3 linked regions of the Alligator mississippiensis genome follow. The protein of the gene in region 1 interacts with the protein of each later gene in a pairwise test. Links are inferred from orthologs where the notes say so. Each region holds a gene or a part of one and is shown in the gene's direction. Other genes may lie near its edges.

Region 1 (7,680 bases):
ATTAATTGAAAAGGATGCTTGGAAACCAATTTGGTGCGTGCGTTATAGCCAAATAGAAAAAAAGAGACCAAGTAAATGTCATTTAACATACCCTTCTGACTATGTAACACAACTGGATTGAAGTGTTTTTACACGGAGAGTGAGAGTATCTCTCTTTTCATGCATTCTTATTCCTGTGGATCAGACTATCTTTAAAACAGATGTGCGTTGTACAAGGCCTTCTGATGTATACTGTTACATGCAAATACCACAGAAGCAGGGGCCAGCTCTTGAAACTTTCTAAAAGCTGCGAGCACTGTTCAGTTCCCTTCCCAGATCTCTTATGTCTGGCATTTTTTCAGATACTAATCAATGCATTAATAATATTGGCACTTTTCTTGGAAGGATGTAAAGGTGGGAATACTCTGCCTTCTGTGTAAGACTAAGTCATGTGGAGCATGGTGAGGACATGAGAACTGCATATAAAAATGGACAGCTGAAAATGAGGAAGTTGAACAGCTGCTTGCACACCATACTGCTGAGGACTGTCTGACTGCAGTCACCCAAGGTATCGGTAAAATGCAAAAAGCTAGACCAAAGGTGTGTATCTTGGCCAGTGATTTGAACAGGATTCGGTTTGTCTTTTGGCAGTGTGTGCTCTTGGCTATATTCTGAATGGCTTTATGTAAAGAGCTCCATTAAGATTAATGGCGCAGACTTGACAAAGGCCGCGTAATTAATGACATGGGTGGTGATCAAAATATCTCATCTCGTTTCTTTTCTTTTCTTCAGGTCAGGGGACACTTCCCCCGCCCCTCCTCGCTAGGAGGAGGGACAGATAGAGCACAAAACCCTGTTAAAGAAAATCCTCATAAGGCTACTAACATCTGATTTCAGTTCAATTCCTGCTGATCTAATTATCCTAATTTAAATGTGTAAAATAATTAGCTTCTAAGAAGAGCCATAGATAACCCACTGTTAGCAGGTCGATATGAAAGATATTGTGCCCTACTTTCAGTGGTGTCTTCAGTGCAGTTTATTTTAGTCCTTTTGTCATTGGTGGCCATGTTGTGCAGAAGAAGGGCAGAGAAAATGGAGCAAAAGCAGAAAGGGCACAATTCAGTCCTGTGCTGGCATTGAACTCAGCCCTGGCGCTGTGAGGGGAGTCAGTCCTGGAGTCCAGCGGATGAGAGCAGCACCCAGACTGCCCTCACTAGTCCCCAGTTGTCAAGACTTTTCTGGCTGTGGCTTCATGTGCGCTAAGAAACCTTTCCCATCTTTTCCTCCCCTGGTTCAGCTCCCCCAGTATCAGCGCTGAAGGCTGCAGCCTGTTCCAAGCACCATAAAATCTGACCTTGTTCAGATCGGTCTAGCTGACACCACTTATAACACTGGCAGCTGCCCACAGCCTCTCAGCACCGGGCCCCCCAGCATCAGAAAGATGACAACTCTCCAGATAACTCCTATAAATCCTGGGAAATACGGGTGGGAGGGCTACTGTGGCAAAGGGAGGAAGGTGAGGAGTGAAGGCATTGTTGCTGTTCTTTTTGGTACATATTATTTAGATCAGGTATCGGCCTCATCTGGCTGGTCAGCATCAAAGTGCAACAAAAAGTCAGTCCCTCGCCCCAAAATGCTTACGGTCTTAGTTCAGGCAGTCCTGGTGCTTGTCGTCTGCTCAAAGGCTTCGGCGTGAATAGGGCTGGAAGAATGGCTGCTACACCCACATTGCCTTGTAAAACTGCTCGGACATAACTTACTATTTTGGTGAAAGCAACAGCATTGTCTTGAAGCTATTAAGGCATGGAGAAATTAATGTGCAGAACTGGCAGAGATTAACGAAAACTCTCTTGGGGAAATTCCTTATTAAAGTAGGCAACCTAATAAATCACAAGCAAAAATGGGATTGGACTCCTCCAATCACCACACAGTTCAGCACTATTGGCAGTCTGTTCACGAGAGGCCTGGCTTTAGTTTTAGTGGGAAGTGTTAGGTCAGGATTGAGGCACTGTGAAAGCCCAGAAAACAGCACTGTTTTTGATCATGACTCGAGTGCATTGGCAGTGCTGGGTTTGGAGGGAAAGTCGGGACTAGTTCCCTGCCAGGAGCCAAGGTTTAAGGACATCACTAGACGTATGAATATGAGAAGCTTGCACAACTGTTGCCTGCTTTAGCAAATGCTAAGCATGTGCATGTGCTCTTACACTTGGACCGGGTTGCAAAAGGAGGTGCCAGAACTGAATACAGACAGAACGGCTTTTTCTCTTCTAATGCAGCCATTGCTGTCAGAGGAAAAATGTGATCTTTTTTTTTTTCCTTTGGCCATAACACATAAGACAGGGCTGTTCACAGCAGGACCCAAGTCTATAGCTGTACTTTGTGCACTATGCTGCTTCTGAGCCGATGGAAGCAGCTGCGTGGTTGTGATGCTGCAGGTTTGGAGGCTGGGTTGGAACAGAAGGAAAATGGTACCAGAGAGCAGCTGCTTTATGCAGAAACCCCACTGGCAGCCTGCTGGAGATAGTGCAGAAAGCTCAGTAGAAGAGCAGCGGCAAGTCCTGTTTCCTGCCTTCTCTTCCCTGCAAGTCATTAGGCTGCAGGTGCGGCAGGGTCAGTGTGAAGAGTCAACTCCGCTGTGCTGCCTTGCAGAGAGGCAGAACTTGAGACTCTACCTGCATTTAGCTTGTAAACACCTGAGAGGGAGGTGCTCTAGGCACTCTTTAGGTAGGTAGAGAGGTCTCCTGGTAGCAAGACAGCAGGGTGAGGAGGAGGGGACAGCTGTAGCACTGAACACCCAGGTGAGCCAGGGCAGGTGCAGTTGACATTTCAGCCCCCAAAGTGATCCCCAAGGTCAGGCAGCTGTCGCTGCTTCAAATGTGGTGGCAACTCCATTTTCTTTAAAGTGTGGGTATAGTTTCATAGATATTTGCCCACTGAAGAGGATGATTTGGTTCCATTATCTGATTCAATATGGTCTCTTATATTGATGTCTGGGAAACAAACCTAAAGGCCCCAATTCTGTTATCCTGCGCCGGGCATAGTCACTTCTGTTAGTGACAGGCGAGAATAAAGTGCTGCCCATTTCACACTGGTGCAGCTCACGGAAGCTGCGTGGCATCCACGGCCTGAGGACAAAGGCATCAGACTGTTTGGGGCCAAATTCATCCCCAGCGTTAGCCTGGTGGAGTCAATGGATTTACAGCAGGGGAGGAGCTGGCCTGTTGTGGCTGTACAACAAATGTGAATTAGGGCCTTGGAGCACAATCACGAGATGTTTGCTGGTACTCCTAAAGTGCGTATTAGGTGCAGGAAGATATGTTTTCTTTAATACCATCTAATCTATTTCCATCCCTAGATTCTAGTGCTTATTTTGGGCTGCCTATCTCTATCCCTAGAGTCAAATGTGTCTATCTATCTGTCCACCCAACCTTCCCTTGATTTATACATTTTTGCCACGGGACCAGTTCTCCAGTCTCCATTTTCAGTTCTGTTATTTATGCCTGTGCAGAGTAGGTGCAAAAGACCCCAGGTCACAGATTTAAAAGCCAGCTGTGTAACACAGGCCTTCTTGGAATTAATTCTTCTTTGAACTAGAACACATCCTTTGCTAAGACACCTGACCTTAATTCAACATCTCCCAGGGATGAAGTCTCCACCCGTCCCTAGATGAGCAGTTCGGTTGGTTAATAACTCTCGCTGCTAAAGCGCTGCACCTTATTTCTAACCTAAGCCTGTCCAGGTTTATGGGCTGCGATCAAGTCTAAAGACTTGCAACTTTAGGAGCAGATTGAATTCTTCAAATTCTTATAATCTTTTACCGGGCAGGCACAGTTTCCAGTTTTTTAAAGCATCCTTCCCTCAGCCCTCTGCAATTTTTTTAAACTTCCTTTTTGAAGTGTCTCTTGCATGTTTGAGGGGTGTAGGTTGTAGCCGTGTTGGTCTCAGGACACAGGGTCCAAGGAACCTTGTCTTCTTGAACTGTAGGCACCAGAGCTGGATGCATCACTCCAGAAAGTGGTTGCTGCAGTGCCAAATACAGGGGAAATATAGTGTGTCCGTATGTCCCTGTTTGTACATCCAAGGATTGACGTCGTGTCACATTGGCAGGTCACGTTCAGCTGATTTCCCACCCCACTCCTCAAGTGTTTTCTCTCTCTGCTTCCCAGAAACTTCCCTTCCCCCAATCCCTCAATCCCTTACAAATGTAATAGCAGCTCAGCCTCGCTTTGCACAGGTGCAAACGTCCACCCAGAATACAAAGGAATGGAGAATTTGGCCCACGCAGGGAGGTGAGGGAAACCACTCCCTAGACTGGAATAAAAGGGACGTGCTGTTTTTCTAAAGTATTAGCGAACACGTTTGAGATACCTGGGGTAGAAGGGGCAGGCTGTATTGGAGCAGGCAGCAGCTGCTCAGACCCCTTTGGTCAAAGCTTAGACCCGTAGTATGTACGAGATTACAATATAAGGGCGAAGCCCCGGGAAAGGAGGTGTGTTGGGATATCTTGGAGCTGTGCTGATCTTATTTAGCAGCTTGGTTTTTCGGCGGGTGTAGATGTGAGCTGTGCCCGGCAGGTGGTGCCTCTGAGCCAGCTGGAACCCATTGGAAATAAAGTGAGGAGAAAGAAAAGAGAAATGTGACCGAGATGGGGCAGTTGGCAGAGGAAGGAAGCGGATAAAAAGAGAGAACAAAGAAATCGCAATCAAGAGGGATCAACTGGAGAGGTAGCTTTACTTTTTGGGCTGTGGAAAAAACTTCCAGGGTTTATCAGTCGCCTAGAGTAGAAGGGAGTGGGCAGCATTGTTTAAAGGGATTGCAAAAGCAGTGAATAATCCTGCTGCTGCTGCTGCTGCTCTCCTCCCCATGCTGAAGGGAGGAAGGGATCCTGCGAGCAGGAGAGAGGAGGACACTGCGGGCCGGAGGCTGCAACATCTCAGCAGCAAAGTGTGCTCCAAAGTTCTTGGCCAAGGTCCCCTGGGCTGCCGCTCTCGGTGGGGAAGACCTCTCCTCGGGAGGGTGTTCGGGACCTCACCCAGCCTCCTCCCCCACGCCCTCTGGGATTATAGGTCATTTTGAACAAGCAACAAAACTAGCGGATTTCAAAGTGAAATTCCGGAGGAAATTTAAAGAGCATCCGGATCCGGAGAAAGAGAGAAAGAAAGAGGAAGGGAAAAATAAATCAAACGTGGAGAGGAGCTAAGGCGGCCGAAGAGAAGCCCAAGAAGAAAGAAGCTGACACCCAGGCGGAGATGGGGTGAGCCAGGCATTTTGATTATTACTCGTGTATCTTTTGTTTTCGTACCAGTTTAAATAACCCAACATGTTTTTTAAGGTATATCCGAGCCGAGGGGATGAGGGCTTCAGGTTGCCATCAAGAAAGAAATGCCAGTTTAAGAGTACAAAGCAGCCCTAAAGTTTAAGGGTTCACAAAGTAGACAACTGCAAATCTCGGCAACTTCTTGACAGGTACCAGGATACAGGGACGGGGCCCTGGGGTCCAGAGCGGGAGTCAGGAACAGCCCTTGGCCACCTTCTCCCAAGTTAAAAAGGACAGGTTTTGTTTTTCCCTTGTGACCTTGGTGCTCAGTAATTGGGATACTGCTTGCATTTCTGAGCGGGTGAGGAGTCTGATTGGAAATCTCCAACGTGAGTTTAAGTTTATGACCCCCTAAAATCTTCCAGGGGTGAAATATGTTGTGCTTAAGTGGCTAGAAGGCACGGGCATGAAAAAGAGATTGTAGCCTGGTGTTTAATTAATGTGCTGGTAATAAACCCCAGCCGTGTAATTTTAAGACCCTGACGTTGCTCTGAGCGAGTTGCTTTGTAATGAACTCTTCTGGGCCACTCAGAAGCACGTTGGGCCGGGAGGAGCCCGGCCTCCCCAGATCCCCCCAAGCTGTCAGTGTGAGACTAGAGGGCAAGTTCACTGGCTTGTGTTTCTTTTGCTGAGTTTCTGATTTTTGTTTTAGGCAACCCAGGAAGAATTACTGGACAGAGTGAAATATAGATGGGGGTGGCAGAAGGGGCAGAGGCACAGAACCAGGTCTCAGTTAAACCAGTATGAATCTGGAGCAAATCCACTGAAGCCTGTGGGGCTTACACTGGTCCCACTCGAAATCTGAAACTGCCCCATGTCTCCGTGATCCCTACCTTGAATCCAAAACTTCAGCCTGGGGATTGCCAGGAAGGGTGTTTCAGGTGCATAGGTTGGGCCTGGCGCCTTATTCTCCAGGTGTATTAGATGAATCCTTCTTGGAGTCATCACGACTACACCCAGCAGCTCTGCGTTTTCTTTAGAGGCCTGCCAGTTCCCACAGAAAAGGTTGATTCGATGTCATCCTGATATTTTCTTAGATCTCGCTCTAATTACAGGGTTGCAGCAGCAGCAGCAGCACTGCTGTTACCGTGGAGGTGGTGTTTCTATCCCAAATCCCCTGTTTTTAGTTGCATAGACCTTCTGAACTGAAATGCCTTTGTGCTTGTGTATCGTTCACATGGAAATGTTGAGCAGCCATCTGCAGGCATTAGATTTCTCTGGATTCCCAAGGCATTAACAGAGCATCCCCTTTTGAATCATTTTCCACCAGTTGATTTAAGCGAGCTCATTTTGAAGTAAGGATTCAGTCCTTACCCCTCACCAGTGACTCTTAAATCTTGCCTATTGTATGTCCTCCTGATGCTCGTTCTGGTATCTCTGGGTAGCTTTCCCGCACAGCCTGTTCCTGGACTCTAATGTATCCCCGTTGCACAGTAGGTTTTCAAGTGCTGGCTCCTCTTCTTTGGAAGAGTCCACTTCCAAACGTTGCTTGGATCACAAGGGAAGCAAATGCATTTACCTCCCGGCTGCGCCTGCAGTGAGCATTCGTCCGCACTTCCACCTAGCAGACGACACAGCAGTCTCCGCTGTAGGGAGGACTAGGATGGGCGTCGGAGAGGAGAGGCTTCTGGTCATGCTTCAGGAGCCCTGGCTGCGCTGTTCAGGGGCAGGACTGAAACGGCAGCAGAGGAGAATGGAGCTGCGCCCACTGAACTGAGCAGGCATCCATGTCTGGAAGGGCTGAGGATGCTGTGGTTAAAATGATTGCACGCAGGCAGAAACATGCACAGAGCACAGCGGGGTGCTCGTAGATGCTTATTACGGGGGGGCATTGGAAGCCCAGCACTGGAGGGACGAGGGTGAGCTGTCAGCAGCGCTGCCCAGACTCTAGCTTTCTGGGTTAGGCTACGCACTACTTAAATGCACTCTGCTTCCCCTATGTTCAAGACTTCCCAGCACCGTGCAGATAAGGCTCCAGTCCGTGTGTGGCACTGGGAGAGCCAGTGGAGACGTCCGTCCCCGCACGGGGACTGTTCCAGGCACGCGCTGTGCACCCAGCCGCAGAGCCATCCTCGTCACCTGGGACCCGGGCCTGGTGGCGAGAGGTGTCCAGGAAAAGCAATGCTTCATAACGGTGCTGGGCCTTTAACGCCCAGGTCCTCCTTTCCCTGGGTCTGAACTTGCACGCTTGCACTCGCGTTCCACCCCCACGACTAATCCGACAGGAGTGCAATTCCCCTGGTGCCCTTTAGCAGCAAACAGGCTGGGGGGAGCTGCTTTTGTACTAAGCTCTCCTAGGTTAATCTCTCACCGGGAAGCCAAGGGTACACCAGGGAAGGAGGAGAGGGGAGGATTAGTTCGTACGCTCCCTGCCACGCAGTCCG
Region 2 (7,052 bases), on another chromosome or scaffold:
CATAAATAACTATTATGACAAATTAGTGCATGTGTGTGTCTAATTTTTTGTAAATTAAACAGCTTCTTTTTTTGTAAATGCTGTTTTGAATGCAAAAGGCTATTGTGCCTTTCAGTATAACCTTTTGGGCTAGGGACAGAAGTTACACAAACTGGTTTAAATATGTAATGTAACAGAAGTTCAGTGTACATAAACCAGCTTCAAAATGGCCACAACTGGTTTGTTTAATATAAACCTGATTGACTGTAGTATCAGATTTGGGTCAAACAGGTTTATGGAACTGCTGTCCCAGACCCCTTCCTGGTTTAAGTTAAATCAGAGTCCCCCAGCATGCTTTTCAGCCTCTGGCAGGGGCAGGGGCATGGCAGCCGGGATGGCCCCCTAAGGTGAAGGGGCAGGGAGAGGGTTTATTCCTTCCCTCTCCCCCCCAGGGGGACTGTAGCTGGGATTTGCCTGACCAGGGTGGAGGAGCCCCTGTCAGGGTCCCCTCCATCATGGCTCCAGCTGTGGGGGTGTGGCCAGAGCCAACCAGCATGGGCCTGCCTTGCCGGGGCTAAGGCTGGGACTGGGGCTGAATCAGGCCAGCCCACAGGCAAGGCCCTTCCCAGCCAGCTGTGGCTCCATGGCAGCCTGGCTCAGTGTGCATGGGTGACAGCTGGCTAGGCAGCAGCACAGAGGTGATGCCACTGAAGCTGTGGGCAGGTGCCTTGGCAGCCAGACTGGCTACATGGGAGGAGTCCATTATGGCCACAGCTGCCCAGGCAGGGGCTTATGTGCCTGCAGCTGCCACTGCCAAGCCTCCTTCATGGACAAACAAGCACTGTGCAGGGGGCACGCAGGGCACACCTTGAGGTGTGTGGCTGCCAGGCTCTGGGCCTACTGGTGCCTGCAGCTGCCCAGGCCAGCTTGGAGGCATGATGGACTTGTCCCATATGACCAATCCAGCTGCCAAGGCACAGTCGCAGCAACATTGCCTTTGTTCTGCTGTCTGGCCAGCTGCCGCCCATTTGCACTGACTGGGTCAAGCTGTCATGGAGCTGGAGCTGGCTGAGAAAGGCCCTGCTCTTGTGGGCCAACCCTACTATTTTCCTGCCTTGCCCTGGGCTGAGTGGGGTCAACTGCAGGTGCTGCTGAGGGTGGGTGTGGGGGGCCAGTTGGGGCTGGGCCATGGGGCAAGGGCCCTTCACAGCTGGCTGCAGCTCCATGACAGCTCAGCCCAGCCTAGGTGTGGGGAGCTGGGAGCAATCAGCCCACCCCCACCATCTGCTCCGAGGCACACGTGCACCCGCCGGTATGGAGATAATGCTAGAGCCTGGAACAACTGGCTGCAACTGGCCCAGGCTCTGGGTAGCTGCTGCCAACCATGGAGCCCAGTCTGCTTGCAGCAGGGCTTGCAGCCACCCAGCCGCCTGCTGGGAGCAGCCCGGGCTTCGTGGCTGGCAGCAGCTGCCTAGAGCCCAGGCTGGCAGCAGTGTGCGGAGCCAAATGGCCTCACATGCCGTGCTCAACACACGTGCTGGGGGTTGCTGACCCCCACTCTAGATATTTGTGTGTGATCCTTACTGATAGATAAAGGACACTATATTTTCTCACTTTTGGGGCTGATTTAAAACATAAACCTTGTGCAGTCTAGTTTTTAAATTTACTATAGATACATTCAGCTAAGCAAGTACATTCAGCTCAGGCTTATGAAAGAATTCAGTATAAACATGCTAATTAAGTAATGTGCCTGGTTAATAGGCTATTTGGTGGTGGTAATACCTTTAATCATACTGAGTTGTGTGTGCTCATATCTGTAGCCCTCCTGCAGATGTACATTAACTCTGAAAACTGATGTTCAGATAAACCACTGTTTAAAATATTGGGCCTAGGCCTTTCACATAATAGGATTATAAATTTGCTTTCTTACATGTTTGTGTATAACCTGTACATATAACCCATATTAGAAAGAGTATGGGCCCTTCCCCACTCAATGATTTGTCTACAAAAAATATTAAGAGTCTACCATGGTTGCTGGCTAAAGTCATTCCTTCAGGAACAGAGGCTCTCTTTTTAGTTTGAAAGATCTATCATTCTAACTTTACTGTCAAACTAATGTTCTTGTTAAGGCAGCAGCTCTGCAACTATAGATATTTCTTAGTCAGAGGTACTAAGGAAAGGAATAGATTTTAAAGATATTTACCACAAGTAAAACACTGTAGCACAGCTAATAGGACAGCATCTTTTGAGGAGCCAACTGAAGTCTCCTCCATTGAATAGAATTGAACACTATCTGCTTGGGGCACAGCTGGGCACTACAGGTTTCCCTTGCTAACGGCTGGGTTTAGGTTCCTGAAAGTTCCTGTAGTTGGCAAAACCGTGGTTGGCAAGACAAAAGGTTTATGGGAAAAATGGCAGGTGGCGGGCTGATGCGCAGCCACAGAAAACTGTGGTTACTCAAAACTGCATCCCGTGGTAGCCAAAATGGTATATAAAATATTAAGTGTGGATACTCAAAACCGTGGTTGGCAAGGGAAACCTGTACTGCATCCTGGAGAGACGTGGCAAACAGGGCGGCAGCAGCGGCTGGGTTGCTGCCACTGGCAGGGAGACAGTCTGTCCCAAGGCTGCACTGGCTATCGGGGCACCTTTTCATGTAGCAATAACTTTCCTCCATTCTTCCCTGTCTTTTGCAATCCTTGTACAGTCACTGGCACTGGCAATGGCAGCTATGTGTGTACTCCCCCCAAGTGGGTGACCCAGGGCTGGTGTCCTGCTCACCCGCCCTCAGTTGCTCTACTGCTAGCTGCCATAGGGAGTCTCAACAATGTTATCCACCCCCATGCCTCAGGGTGCTCCCACCTCTCTTGTTTCTTAGTCTTTACATAAAAGCAGCTAATGCCTTGTTGTGAGGTTGGCTGGACATTTACATTGGCACCAAATTCAAAATAGGCCATGAGGAGACAGGTGGTAGGAAATACAGACAGTCCTCAGACTTAGGACACAAGTCGAAACATTGTAACTCAGAACCAATTTTCTCATAAGAAACAATGTTATAAATGGGGGATTGGTTCCTGAACCAAGGCCCCTTTCACCAAAAATACCCCAGAATTTTGTACTTGATCAATTATAGATGAGTAATATAGCTACATTAATGTATTTATATTGTAAATAGCAATCATATTTATTTGGAAGGACTTCTTTGAGGAGACTTTGCTGGACTTTTTGAAAGGCTCTTAGTTGGACTTTTTGAAGGGTTCTTGGCTGGAGTCTTCTCCGGAGTCATGGCTGGAGTCGTGTCTGCTTTCTTAAAGAAAGTGTCCAAGGCAGTTTGGACAGATGTTCTCCAGGGAAATGAGTGACGCAGCAAACTAGTTTGCTGGCATGGTGTCGCATTGGATCAAGCGTTGTAAAGTCAAAACTGAGGTCAGAAAGTTGAAAACAGGGTGTCAATTTATAAACGCTGTAAGTGCGAAACATTGTAACTCGAAACATAAATTGAGGACTGCTTGCACAGCTGATATGCATAATCCAAAATCAGGGGACTTTGGAACCTGTGGCCAGCTGACTTTCTAAAGAGGGTGCAGCCCTGCTGAGCCAGGGGAAGTCAAAGCAAAGTTTGAGGTGAGTTGATATCTGGTTTGGGACAACGTGGGTAGCTGCGGGAGCCAGGAAACAAGATTTTTTGGGGCTTCAACTGCCCTTCACAAGGTCTGAAAAAGCAGCTGTCACTGTCCAAGCACAGGCCAAGTGAGGACAGTTAACTACAGCAAGGAGAAATAACTCCCCTTCAGTGTTAGCCCGCGACCCTGGCCGCCCTTCCCTTCATCGCTGCCCCCCGCAGCCGCGTCCCGCTCTGTGCCCGCCGGGCAGCAGGGCTCGCGGAGGCAGGAGCAGGGTAAGGGCATCGCTTCACGGCGGCTTCACTCCGCTACCGGGCATGTGCGGACGCGCCGCACATGCTCACTAGGGACAAGCCCGGTCTTGGGGCATGTGCCGAGCGGGGCCGGGCCAGGCTGCGGCAGCTGCTGCGGGCGCGCTCTGTCCCCGCCGCTCCCGGACGCTATAAATAGCCTCCCATGCAGAAAATGGCCCGGGTGCTGCAGCGGCTGGATTGTGGGCGCGAGCTGCCCCCGGCTCCCCAGGCGTGAGGAGCCCGGCAGGACGTGGTAAGGGAAGCGGCTGCCCCGCTCCGGGCCGGCCCCCAGCTGCTCCCCGCGGGCCGGGCGGGGCGGGGCGGGGCGGGGAGTGGCGGGGCGTTGCCAGCCCGGGGCCCGTCGCCTGGCGCCCAACATCTGGGCAGAGCGCTGCCTGGGCTCGGCACAGCTGGAAAGGGGGATCGATCCGGGCGCTCTCCTGCCCTGTCTGCTGCAACCTCCCGGGGGCCGCGGGGCTGGGGGGCGTCGCTCGCAGCCCGGGGGCTCGGGGCTCGGATTCGCGGGGCAGCAGGATGAAGGTAATGGCTGGGGTAGGGCCAGTCGTCTTCCCCACCCCCGCCTGCTTTCGTGGTGGGACACAGCCTCCGCCCGCCGGGTCCTGGCACTCGCCTCCCCCCGTGTGTCCGCCGGGCCGGGGCCGGGGCCGGGGCCCGCGCGGGTCTTGGGGTCTGGCAGCGCGGGAGTGGGGGGGAGTTTATCCCGGATAAACAAGGGGCCCGCAGGAGCCGGCGGCTGAAAGTCCCACGTGAAAGCCCAGAGCTGGGACAAGCGCGCGGATGTGCACTGACACTGAATCTGCCTCGACCCCAGAGCTTTGTGCATCTCTGACACTGAATCGGCTTTCTTGCCTATTTCTTTTTTCCAGACCTGTCTGTCTAGCCCTCGGATCCGCTCTCCGTGCTCTGAAGCCGTTACCGCTCCTCCCGGCCATCTCCAAACACTGACTTTGTGCTCTCTTGCTGTGATCCTTCTCTGCTTCTCTTTCCTTTTCTCCCCTCTCTACTTCCTGGATTGTTTTAATCTGCTCTTGGAGATGAATCCTGCTTTCTCTTATGCCCCTGGGGATGATTTCTTAGGGCACCGCCTTTTATTGGCCCAACTGTGTCCTGGGGATACAGTTAAACAAGCTTCCCAGTGTAAGGCGTTCTTCCTCTGGTCTCAAGTAAGAGACTGTGTAGGATGCAGTGAGACCTGAGGAAGCATGTCTTGCATTCAAAAGCTTGTCTAACATTATCTGCAGGCACCTACCCTGGAGATCTTCAAAAAGATACTGGACACACACCTTGTTGGGGTTATTTGATCCCAGCAGTCTTTCCTGCCCAGAGCAGGAAGGCTGGACCTGATGATCTCATGAGGTCCTTTCCAGCCCTAAACGTCTGTGAATCCCAGCTACAGAGTTGGTCTAGTAAAAGATGCTGCCCTAAGAGATCCTTGCCTGTCACATAGTTTCTGGACCATTACAGCTACAACATCACTCTTGAACTTGCTATCTTGGCTCTACCCAGATGCACACAGATTTTGCTAAAGCCGGAATGCCAGTTCCTGCTCAGTTACATCCCACACAGCCAAGGTCAAACTTTAGTGGGGTGGTAGAGGAAGAGCTGTATAGTGATATTAAGGCTGCAGCTTGCATTAGTGACAGCAGATGAGATGCCATCACAGTTGCTTGTGCAGATGTTCATGATATGGGCATCCTTCCTTCCCGCCCCTCCCCCCCCCCCCAAGTTGCTGTGATCAGCAATTAAATAGTATAGGGGAGACATACATTTTTGTTGTCCTTAGACATGTGTTAAGGAATCCAAAATATGAACACTTCGTTGTGTTTCTGATTTTTAAATGTTTACTCAAGAAAGGGAAATACACTTTAGCTGGAATCAGTTGCATGGGAGCATTGTGCAGGCTTCCTCCACACTGCCCTCTTACCCAACACCTTCAGTGCTGCTCTGGGGCATGCCCAGAAGATCTGGTGATCTTGTGTCTGCTAGAGACCCAAATAATTTGGCCAACTACAACCTGCAGGCTGGGCCCAACCCACAGCCATGTTAGGTATGGCACAGGTAATGAAGAAAGAACAATTAAATTCTTGGTGCTTGCATACCTTCTGTGTGGGCTTTTTTTATATTCCTTCCCAGAGTCTGTATAGTGGAGAAGTATGACCGTTTTGACATGCTTGTCTCCTGCCTGCTTAGTAGGAACACATGAGAAGGGGCTAGAGCTAGAATAAAGAATTCAAGAGACAGAGGAGAGGAACATTTCAGAAGAAGAAAGTTTATCACTGGGTTATGATACTCTTATAGGATGGTCTATTGTTTTAACAATCATTGTGGTCACCGTTTGGTTCATCTGTCTCTGTCCTGTTGTTTTTTTATCATGCTGATACTTTGTCTCCCTTGTCTCCGTCTTTTTTGATGTTGTCTTTTAAGCTCCCTGTTATCCTGTTCCCATGAAACTGCCAGGGATATGTTGTCTTCTGAGGTGTGCCTGTCAAATGAACTTGCTTCTGTGTTACCACATTATGCTATTTAATTTCTTTTACAATGAGTAAATTTGCCTCCTCTAAAAATGTTGAGACATGCAAAAGGTAACTCATTTGGTTTATCTTGTCGATTTTAGACTGTAAGCTCTTTGGGGCAGGGACTGTCCTTCTATGTGTGTCTAGTTTGTTTACAGTACTTGGGGAAACTGGGGACCTTGTGCTTGTCTCTGGCACCTAGATAAATAATAAATACAGTATCAGCTTCCTCATGATTTTATCAACCACTCCATTTGAAATGTATGCATTTTTATGTGGCTATTCTGCAACTAAAGATAGTGAAAACCGCCAGTTCTTTATGTTTGTTTTAATCCATATCCAGATCATTAATGAAAGATTTATCTATGGGCTACCTTGCTTAGTATTTATCAGGCCATCTCCCTTTAAAATAAGAATTAGGGTTGCCAACTCTGTTTGAATCTATTCCAGGAGGTTTTATCATGTGATGTAAAGACATTCATGACTGATCTAGGCAAATGTACATTACTACATTTTAAAAACCCCACTGGACTACTGTATACAATGGATTCATCATTTAATATTTATTTTAATGAATGCCATATCATTTATCTTCTGGATAACACTCAGCAGTCTCTTGGAGA
Region 3 (7,203 bases), on another chromosome or scaffold:
GGGAGCACAGGGCACTAGGAGCAAGCTCTGGGAGGGGCATGGGGTCTGCTGGGCTGGTGTATGGTGGGGGCTGGGAGCCTGGCTGCCTGGGTCTCCTCCTGGCTGCCTGGCCGGGGCCCCGGCTCACCCCAAGCGCTCCTGGCTCTCCTCGGGCGTGAGCTGGTCAAAGGTCTTGGCCTGCTCCTTGCCCAGGAAGGCCTCGTGGTCATACTGGAAATCCTGGTTGTCATCGTGCTGGTGGTCGCTCAGCTCCTTGCCATGGTGCACGCGGTCCTTCTTCTCCGGGGGTGGCTTGGCCAGAGCCCCCCCCACTGCACACAGCGCCAGCACCCACCAGCCTGCCAGCACCCACATCCCTGCGCCTACAGGGCAATGGGGGAGGGTAGAGACCCCAGCCCTACCCACAACTTTGCCCCCTTCCCCAGCTTCCACTGTCCTTGAGTCCCCCACAATTCACCCCTGCAAGGCAGCCCCCAGCCTTGCCCCACACCCCCTATCAGAACCCCAGCCCCACCATGCCCAGGGGAGGCGCCCTTTGTCCCAACCCCCCCCCCAACTAGAGGGACCCCAGGGCCCCTCCCCATACCTCACCCAGCTCCAAACCGCCGCGTGTTCGAGCCCCGACTGGAACCCGGCTCCCCCTGCCCCGCAACAGCCCCCCCACACAGGCCCACCCTCTCGGCTGGTGGGGCCAATGAGAGGGCGGCATACCCCCGCGGGGCGGGGCCAGGACGCTGGCTGATTGGCTGCCCGTCGCCACGTTGACACAAGTTTCTCCCCCAAGCAAGTTGTGGCCAAGTTCTGGGCAGAGAGGCCACGTGGAGGGGGGCGGGGGCTAGGCCACGTGGGGGTTAGGGGGCGCGGGGGCTGAGACCAGGCAGGCAGGATCTTTGATGGGTCTTGCCCTCCTCAAGCTCAGCAGCCCTCCCCACCTCCATCCTACAGCAGCCCCTGTCCCTGCCCACCCCCACTCCGGGCTGCCCCGTCCTGGGGGGGCTCTGCTGGGGCTTTGCCGCCCCCCCGCTGACCCAGCGGGAACCGAGGGCTCAGGCCCCTCCTGCCCTGCGGTGCTCACTTCCAGGCTCCTCCTAGGCCGCTCCAGCACGGAAACTAAGGCACGGCCCGCTGGGACCCTTGGTCTTAACCTGAGCTCGTCCAATGGGCGTCTGCCTCCCCCCTCCCTGCCCGGTATCTGGGCTGAGTGGAGGTGCTGGTCCCCCGCCGCCCGCTCTCGCAGACTGGGGACAGGGGTGGGGGAGCCCTGGGGACCCCAAGCCCTGGAGAACCAGCCCCAGCTCTTCTGTCAGACGAGTCGGGCTGGGATTTTGCGTGTGGCCCCGGTCCAATCTGCAGCCCCCTGCTCCCCAGCCCTGCTAGTGCCCCTGGCATCCCTGCAGCCTGTCTATTTGTGACATGTGGGTCAAGACTAGCACATCCCAGTCTCTTAGCCAGGGGGCAGGGAGGGAATGAAGTCCCCTAGGGAGGCCTGGGCAGAAGTACTACATCTGGATTCCCCACCGCCTCCCCCTTATACAACACGGATAAGCTCAGAGTTGCCAGATGGGGAGGAATGGCTGGGGGGTGAGTCTCATAGCTGGGATCTGTGTCACTGAGTCCCAGGGGAGCAGTGGTCATGGGTCTGTGGGTTGCAAGTGAGCTCCACCCGCAAGGCAGGGGGGAGGGGGGTGGAGTAGGGGGCTTCTGGTCAGGAGCGAGGGGCACCAGCAAGGCTGGGAGGCAGGGGCTGCAGGTCTGGAGTGAGGGGGCAGGGGGCTGTGGGTCAGAAGTGAGGGGCACCAGCAGGGCTGGGGGGGCAGGGGGCTGTGGGTTGGGAGTGAGAGGCACTGGCAGGGCTGCCTGTGCTATGTCTTGGTTCAGGGCACCTCTGGGATAGAAGCAACAGATGGGGGAGCGGTCAGCTCCGCTCCGACGCCCCGAATATGCCCGGTCCACATGGGCAACTCACATTGAAGTGACACCAGAAAGGGAAGGGGACCTGCAACGCACTGGCCATGTGTGGGGAGAGGGGCCGAGTCTGCAGCATCATTTGGGGTCAGGGAGATTCCCCCCCAGCCCTGCCAGTGTCCCTCATTCCCCACCCACAGCTCTCCTCCTATAACAATTGAACCCAGGTGTTCAGGTCAGTGCTTTGCAAGCTGCCACATGCTCTCCAGCAATGGGTCACTCCCTATGTAGGTCCAGCAGGGTCTGATCCCTCCCATCTCACCCACACTGGAGTTGGGGGGGGGTCTGTGCTGGGATGGGGGGGGCAGGCATTAGCCTCCTCTTTTCCCCCTGCTTTTGCCTCCGTAGCTCCTGGGCTCCAATTAGCTGCATCAGGGCTGTGTCAGGAGCCAGCAGTAATCGGATCAGATGGGGTGGCTGGGGGCAGGTGCCCTGTCATGCCAGGGTGCAGGATTCAGGGAGGCTGGTGGTGTTTGATGCCCCTCCTTTCCCCCCCTGCATGGGCCAGGGGCAGAGGTGGAACCCAGGTGTCCGGGTGCGGGGTGGGGGGAAGGATCTGGTGCTTGTCTAGGCCTGTTTCAGACTGGAGTCTGGCCCTGTCCTGGCTGGAGGGGGCTTCAGGGATTAGGGTGGGGGGTTCCTGCCCTTCAGGGGGAGCTCTCAGGGGTGGTGACTGCAGGGGGGTGGGAGAGGGGGGTACACAGCCCCCCCCCCGGCCCCCAGCCTGCATCGATGGGCCCTGACAGCCCCCCAGGCCCCACGTGATGCACTCACTTTGCATTTTTAATTGCCCCTGTCACTGTAACACGGATTTCTACTTAACCCACCATCCCTGGGGCCCCTGCCCAGTGGAGGAGTATCAAGTCCGGGCATTTATGGGGTCCCAGGGGGGCTGGGGCAGGGAAGAGGGGAGGAGGCATCTGGGGGGGGTGCATGCCTGGAGTGTCCCTGGGCCTTGGGGTGGGGCTATGCTGGGCTGGGGTGTTCCTGGCTGGGGGTGGGGGACCTCTGGTCTCACCGCTGGGGAGCAGCACGTGATAGGGGTCAGGGTCCCCACTCCCTTTTGTCCTAGGGGCTGGCGGGTTGTTGAGTGTGGAGGAAGCAGAGGGTGAGGGTGGGAGTGTGTGGCTCAACTCAGTTCCTCTCAGCCACAGACCCCCAGAACCCCTGGGAACCAGCCAGAAGGGCGGTCCCATGGCCCTACTCAGATGGGGGGACCCACGTGTCCAGGCTCCCAGCCCCTCTGCAGCTAGGAAAGAGGCTGGCAAGAGATGAGAGACTGTGGGGTGCCCCTCACTCCTGACCTGCAGCCCTCTGGTCCCCACAGCCCTGCCAGTGTCCCTCACTCCTGATCTACAGCCCCCTACCCCTCACAGCACTGACTGCTGGTGCGCCTCACCCCTGCCTGTTCCCACCTCCTGACATTTTCCTTTTGCCCTTCACACCATTGGCTATGAGAATCCCAGACCTACGAGGTTACCTGTCCCCCCTAGCCTCCCCTCCCTTGGGATCCCTGTCTGCTCCCAGCACCCCCCAGTGCTCAGCCCCCTCCACCTTCCATGGGGGCAGGGGAGAGGGCTGATTTTCCTAATGGAAGAGACATGGAAAGAGGAGGCATGATGGGGAGCAAAGGAAGATATGTGTGTGTGTGTGTGTGTGTGTGTGCGCGCACATATGCATGGTTGTACACGTGTAAATGTATATGTCCATTGGTGTGTAGCTGTATGCCTACCTGCTTGTGTATACACGCATGCACATGCAGGCATGCCTGCATGTGCGGCCCCACTGTGGCCAACAAGAGCAGGCCCCACCCAGGACAGCCGCCCCCAGCTCCTCCTACCCCCTCCATCCTGTATCCCGCTTCAACCACCCCACAGCCCCCACAAGGCCGTACCCCCTCCCCCAGCCTGGCGCATCCCTGGCAGCTTCTTTCCTCTCCGATCTTCTCAGCCACCAGAGCATGGGCTGATACTGGGGGACTTCTCACCCCCCCCACTGCCTGCTAGTCCACCCCCCCCCCCCCCCCCCCCCGAGCCCATTGGAGAGAATTAAGTTCAAAGCTGCCAGGACAGTTTAACACAAATGTCACCGCGTGGCGGCCATGTCCCCCCCCTACACACAGCCCCCCCCCCCCCCCCAACGCCCCCCAGCGCCTGGGACTTGCCTTTATTCCTCTCCAGCACCCGGTTGGCAGCAGACGAGGCTGGGCAGAGGCCAGGGATTTGGTGCTGGAGGTGGCATTTTGGAGGGGGCGGCACAGGCCCTGCCAGAAGAAGGGAGCCTGCCCCAGCTGGGACCCCAAGTGAGGTACGTCAGGGTGGAGGAGCATCTGGGGGGGACCATGGGGGCTGGGAGGGGCATTCCCGACCCACAGCCCCCAGCCCTGCTGGTGCTCCTCACTCCCAGCCTGCAGCCCCCTGCCATCCCCCTCAGCCCTGCCAGTGCCCCTCATTCCTGACCCACAGCCTCCTGCCACCACATTCCTGCCCCCTTGGATCCGATGGAGATGGGGACAGTGGGATGGGAGGAAGGTGATGCATCCCCAGTGGTGCCCAGCAGATGCCTTCCTCCTTGACTGGGAGGGAAGCCATGGAGCGGGGTCTCCTGGCATTGCCCCCCCTGACCTGGATGGCAGGGGTGGGGGCAGCTCATCTCACTCCCCTGTTTCTCCAGCAAACAGAGGGGGGCATAGACCTGCCTTTGTGCCCCTTGCCAGACCAACCCACAGCCCTGCCCTGCCCCCAGGCTGGGCCCCGCCCCCTTAGCACCCAGCACAGCCCCAGATAAAATGCAGCCTAGGAACCCAGGTGCCTGGGCAGGGATGGAACCCAGGCGTCCAGGTGGGGGCAATGGTATATTGTGGGTGCAGTTCCTGGGGCAATGTGAGATAATGGTCCCCAGCCCTGCTGCTGCCCCTCACTCCTGACCCACAGCCCTGTGCCTCCCCTCCCCCCCAAGTCCTGCTGGTGCCCCTCACTCCCGACCTGCAGCCCTGCTAGCCTCATCAGTGCTCATCACTCATGCCCCTGGAGCTGCACCCATGGATGGGAGGGTAGTTGGGCTGGGGCAGGCTGAGCCCCTGCCGGCCCCCCCCCCAACATTGACAAAGAAAGCCATGGAGATGACTGCCCCCACCTGCCCCCTCACCCACACTCCTGCTCTGAGGAGGACCAGGAGGAGTCAGCATAGGGCTGCAGCAGTGTGTGCGTGTGTGTGTGCACGCACACACATGTGCATGTGCATTTATGTGCGCACATACAAGTGCCATTGCTCTATTCTGGGTGTTTGCTTTTTTGCATGGCCATGCTCAGTGCGGTGTGGGTGCAGTCGTGCATGTGTATGTACCCGTGTGTGTCTGTGCATGTGTGAACACATGCAAATGCTGTGGGTACGCATGTGCGTTCGGGCGTGGGTACTGGTGTGCAGTGTTGTATGCATGTTGGTCTGTGTGCCTGTACATGGATGTGCCCTGTACAGCATAGTATGCATACGTGTGTGGTTTGCCAGTGTCTGTATGTGCATGTGTATGTGATGCTCTGTATACCTGTGCATATGTGTGCATTTGTGCACTGTGTATGTGACGCTGTTTGTGCCTGTGTGCATGTGCATTCGCATGTGGGTTTGTGGGTGTGTGTGTGTGGTGCTGTGGGCATTTGTGTGTGGTGTGCCACTGTGTGTGTTTGTGCATGTATGCATGCATGTCAGGCCTTGCATGTGTGTGTTGAAGGCTGGGGGGCGTGTATAGGATGCTGCCTTTGTGCGCTGCTCTCTCATGCGGCTGTGGCTGTGTTTCCTGTGCTCTGTGTGTGTAAGGAGCACAGAGAACATGGCTGTGTGTTGCCATGTTGTGTGTTCCTGCCCTGCATGTGTATGTGTCTGTATGTGAGAAAGAGAGAGAGACTGGGCCTCCTTGTGACCATAACCCCCTCCTCCCCCAACCCCAGCTCTCCCCCAAAGGCTCCCACACTCACTTAAAGGAAGCACAGCCCCCCCGCCTCAGTTTCCCCTCTAGTGAATGGAGTATGAGGACTCCAAACCTCCCTGGGGGGCCACCGGCGCATGCAGAGGGGCCAATGTCCATCGAGATGGGAATCCCCACACCCCTGCATGTGAGAGACTGAGAAAAGGGGATGGGTAGGGCCAGCAGGGCTGGGGAGCTGTGGGTTGTTTGTGAGGGGCACCAACAGGCCTGGGGGTCCAGGGTTGGGGCTCAGGGAAGGCTGCCCCCTGCTCTGCCTGCCTGAACAGCAGCTGTGCCAGCCTTGCTCTCTCAAGGGCAGTGCAGGGCTGTGGGAGGCTGATGCAACAGCGGGGACAGCAGCTGCCTTGGGGGACAGGGCCATGGAGAGCTCTGGCTGTGCAGGCACCAGCCTGTCCCCCACACAGTGACAGACATGGGCACTAGGGGGCAACAGGCTGGGGTGGCGGGTGCTGGGCAGCCCCAGCACCCCCCACCCCAGAAGCAGCTGCATCTCCATGCCGCTCTGACCGCCTGCCTCTCTCTCTGCCCTGTCGCCGTCTCCAGGTGCCCAGGACTCATTGCAGCCCCGGGGGGGCTGGTCCCCCACACCCTCGCCGCGGCCCCGCGCTGGTCCATGGGGGCAGACAGCCTGTACAAGAAGATTGGGATGCTGAACATACAGAACGCGGCGTGGAGTGGCCGTCAGGACTGGTACCCAGAGAGCCTGGTATCACCACAGCCCAACCCAGGTGTGCGGGGGTGGGGGGCAGGGCTTGGTGCCTGGCAGCCTGGGATCCCCGCTCACCCCCCAGGCACACCCCAGCAGGACCCTGTCCCAGCCCCTGCCCTCACTGGCACCTGGGTTTTCTCTTGGTTCTGGGAGGGCAGCAGGGTCTAAAGGGGTGGAACAGGGTGTGGGGCTGGGAGCCAGACACCTGGGTTCTATCCCAGCTCAGGGAGGGCAGTGGGGCCTGGGGGGCTAGAGCAGGTGGGGCTGGAAACCCGGATACCTGGGTTCTTTCTCAAACCTCCCAGGCACCGTTAAGGCCCAGATCTCGGTTACCTCTGCTGTAAATCTGGGGGGCAAACAGCGGGTGGGGGGGGTGTTAGAAGCACCCCTAGATCCGACTCCACCCACCATTGCTCCATCAGGGTCTCTGCTCCCATGCTAGGGACATGGTCATTCCCCCCCCCCAAGAAAAGCAGATGTCAGGAGGTGCCAGGTGGGTGGCAAGTTGGGGGGGCTGGGCTGGGCTGTGCTGGGGCCAGACCAAGCC

The links.
Region 2: the proteins of HOMER3 (region 1) and WIPF1 interact in binary tests that used the Homo sapiens proteins (3 or more experiments, as listed by UniProt). The two-hybrid records come from large-scale screens. The link is inferred for Alligator mississippiensis from reciprocal best matches to the Homo sapiens genes HOMER3 and WIPF1.
Region 3: the proteins of HOMER3 (region 1) and paired box protein Pax-6 interact in binary tests that used the Homo sapiens proteins (3 or more experiments, as listed by UniProt). The link is inferred for Alligator mississippiensis from reciprocal best matches to the Homo sapiens genes HOMER3 and PAX6.

Annotation. Positions count from the first base shown.
Region 1 is NC_081839.1:1,369,391-1,377,070, reverse strand, and holds the start of HOMER3 (homer protein homolog 3), read left to right. Parts: upstream 1-4,580; 5' UTR 4,581-4,703; intron 4,704-5,045; exon of another isoform or gene 5,046-5,233; intron 5,234-7,680. UniProt on the Homo sapiens protein: Postsynaptic density scaffolding protein. Binds and cross-links cytoplasmic regions of GRM1, GRM5, ITPR1, DNM3, RYR1, RYR2, SHANK1 and SHANK3.
Region 2 is NC_081827.1:210,164,708-210,171,759, forward strand, and holds the start of WIPF1 (WAS/WASL-interacting protein family member 1), read left to right. Parts: upstream 1-3,962; 5' UTR 3,963-4,148; intron 4,149-4,254; exon of another isoform or gene 4,255-4,435; intron 4,436-7,052. UniProt on the Homo sapiens protein: Plays a role in the reorganization of the actin cytoskeleton. Contributes with NCK1 and GRB2 in the recruitment and activation of WASL.
Region 3 is NC_081828.1:40,007,014-40,014,216, reverse strand, and holds the start of paired box protein Pax-6, read left to right. Parts: upstream 1-4,113; 5' UTR 4,114-4,272; intron 4,273-6,490; 5' UTR 6,491-6,560; coding exon 6,561-6,675; intron 6,676-7,203. Other genes in the region: RCN3 (reticulocalbin-3), read right to left, coding at 128-362, 592-709. UniProt on the Homo sapiens protein: Transcription factor with important functions in the development of the eye, nose, central nervous system and pancreas. Required for the differentiation of pancreatic islet alpha cells.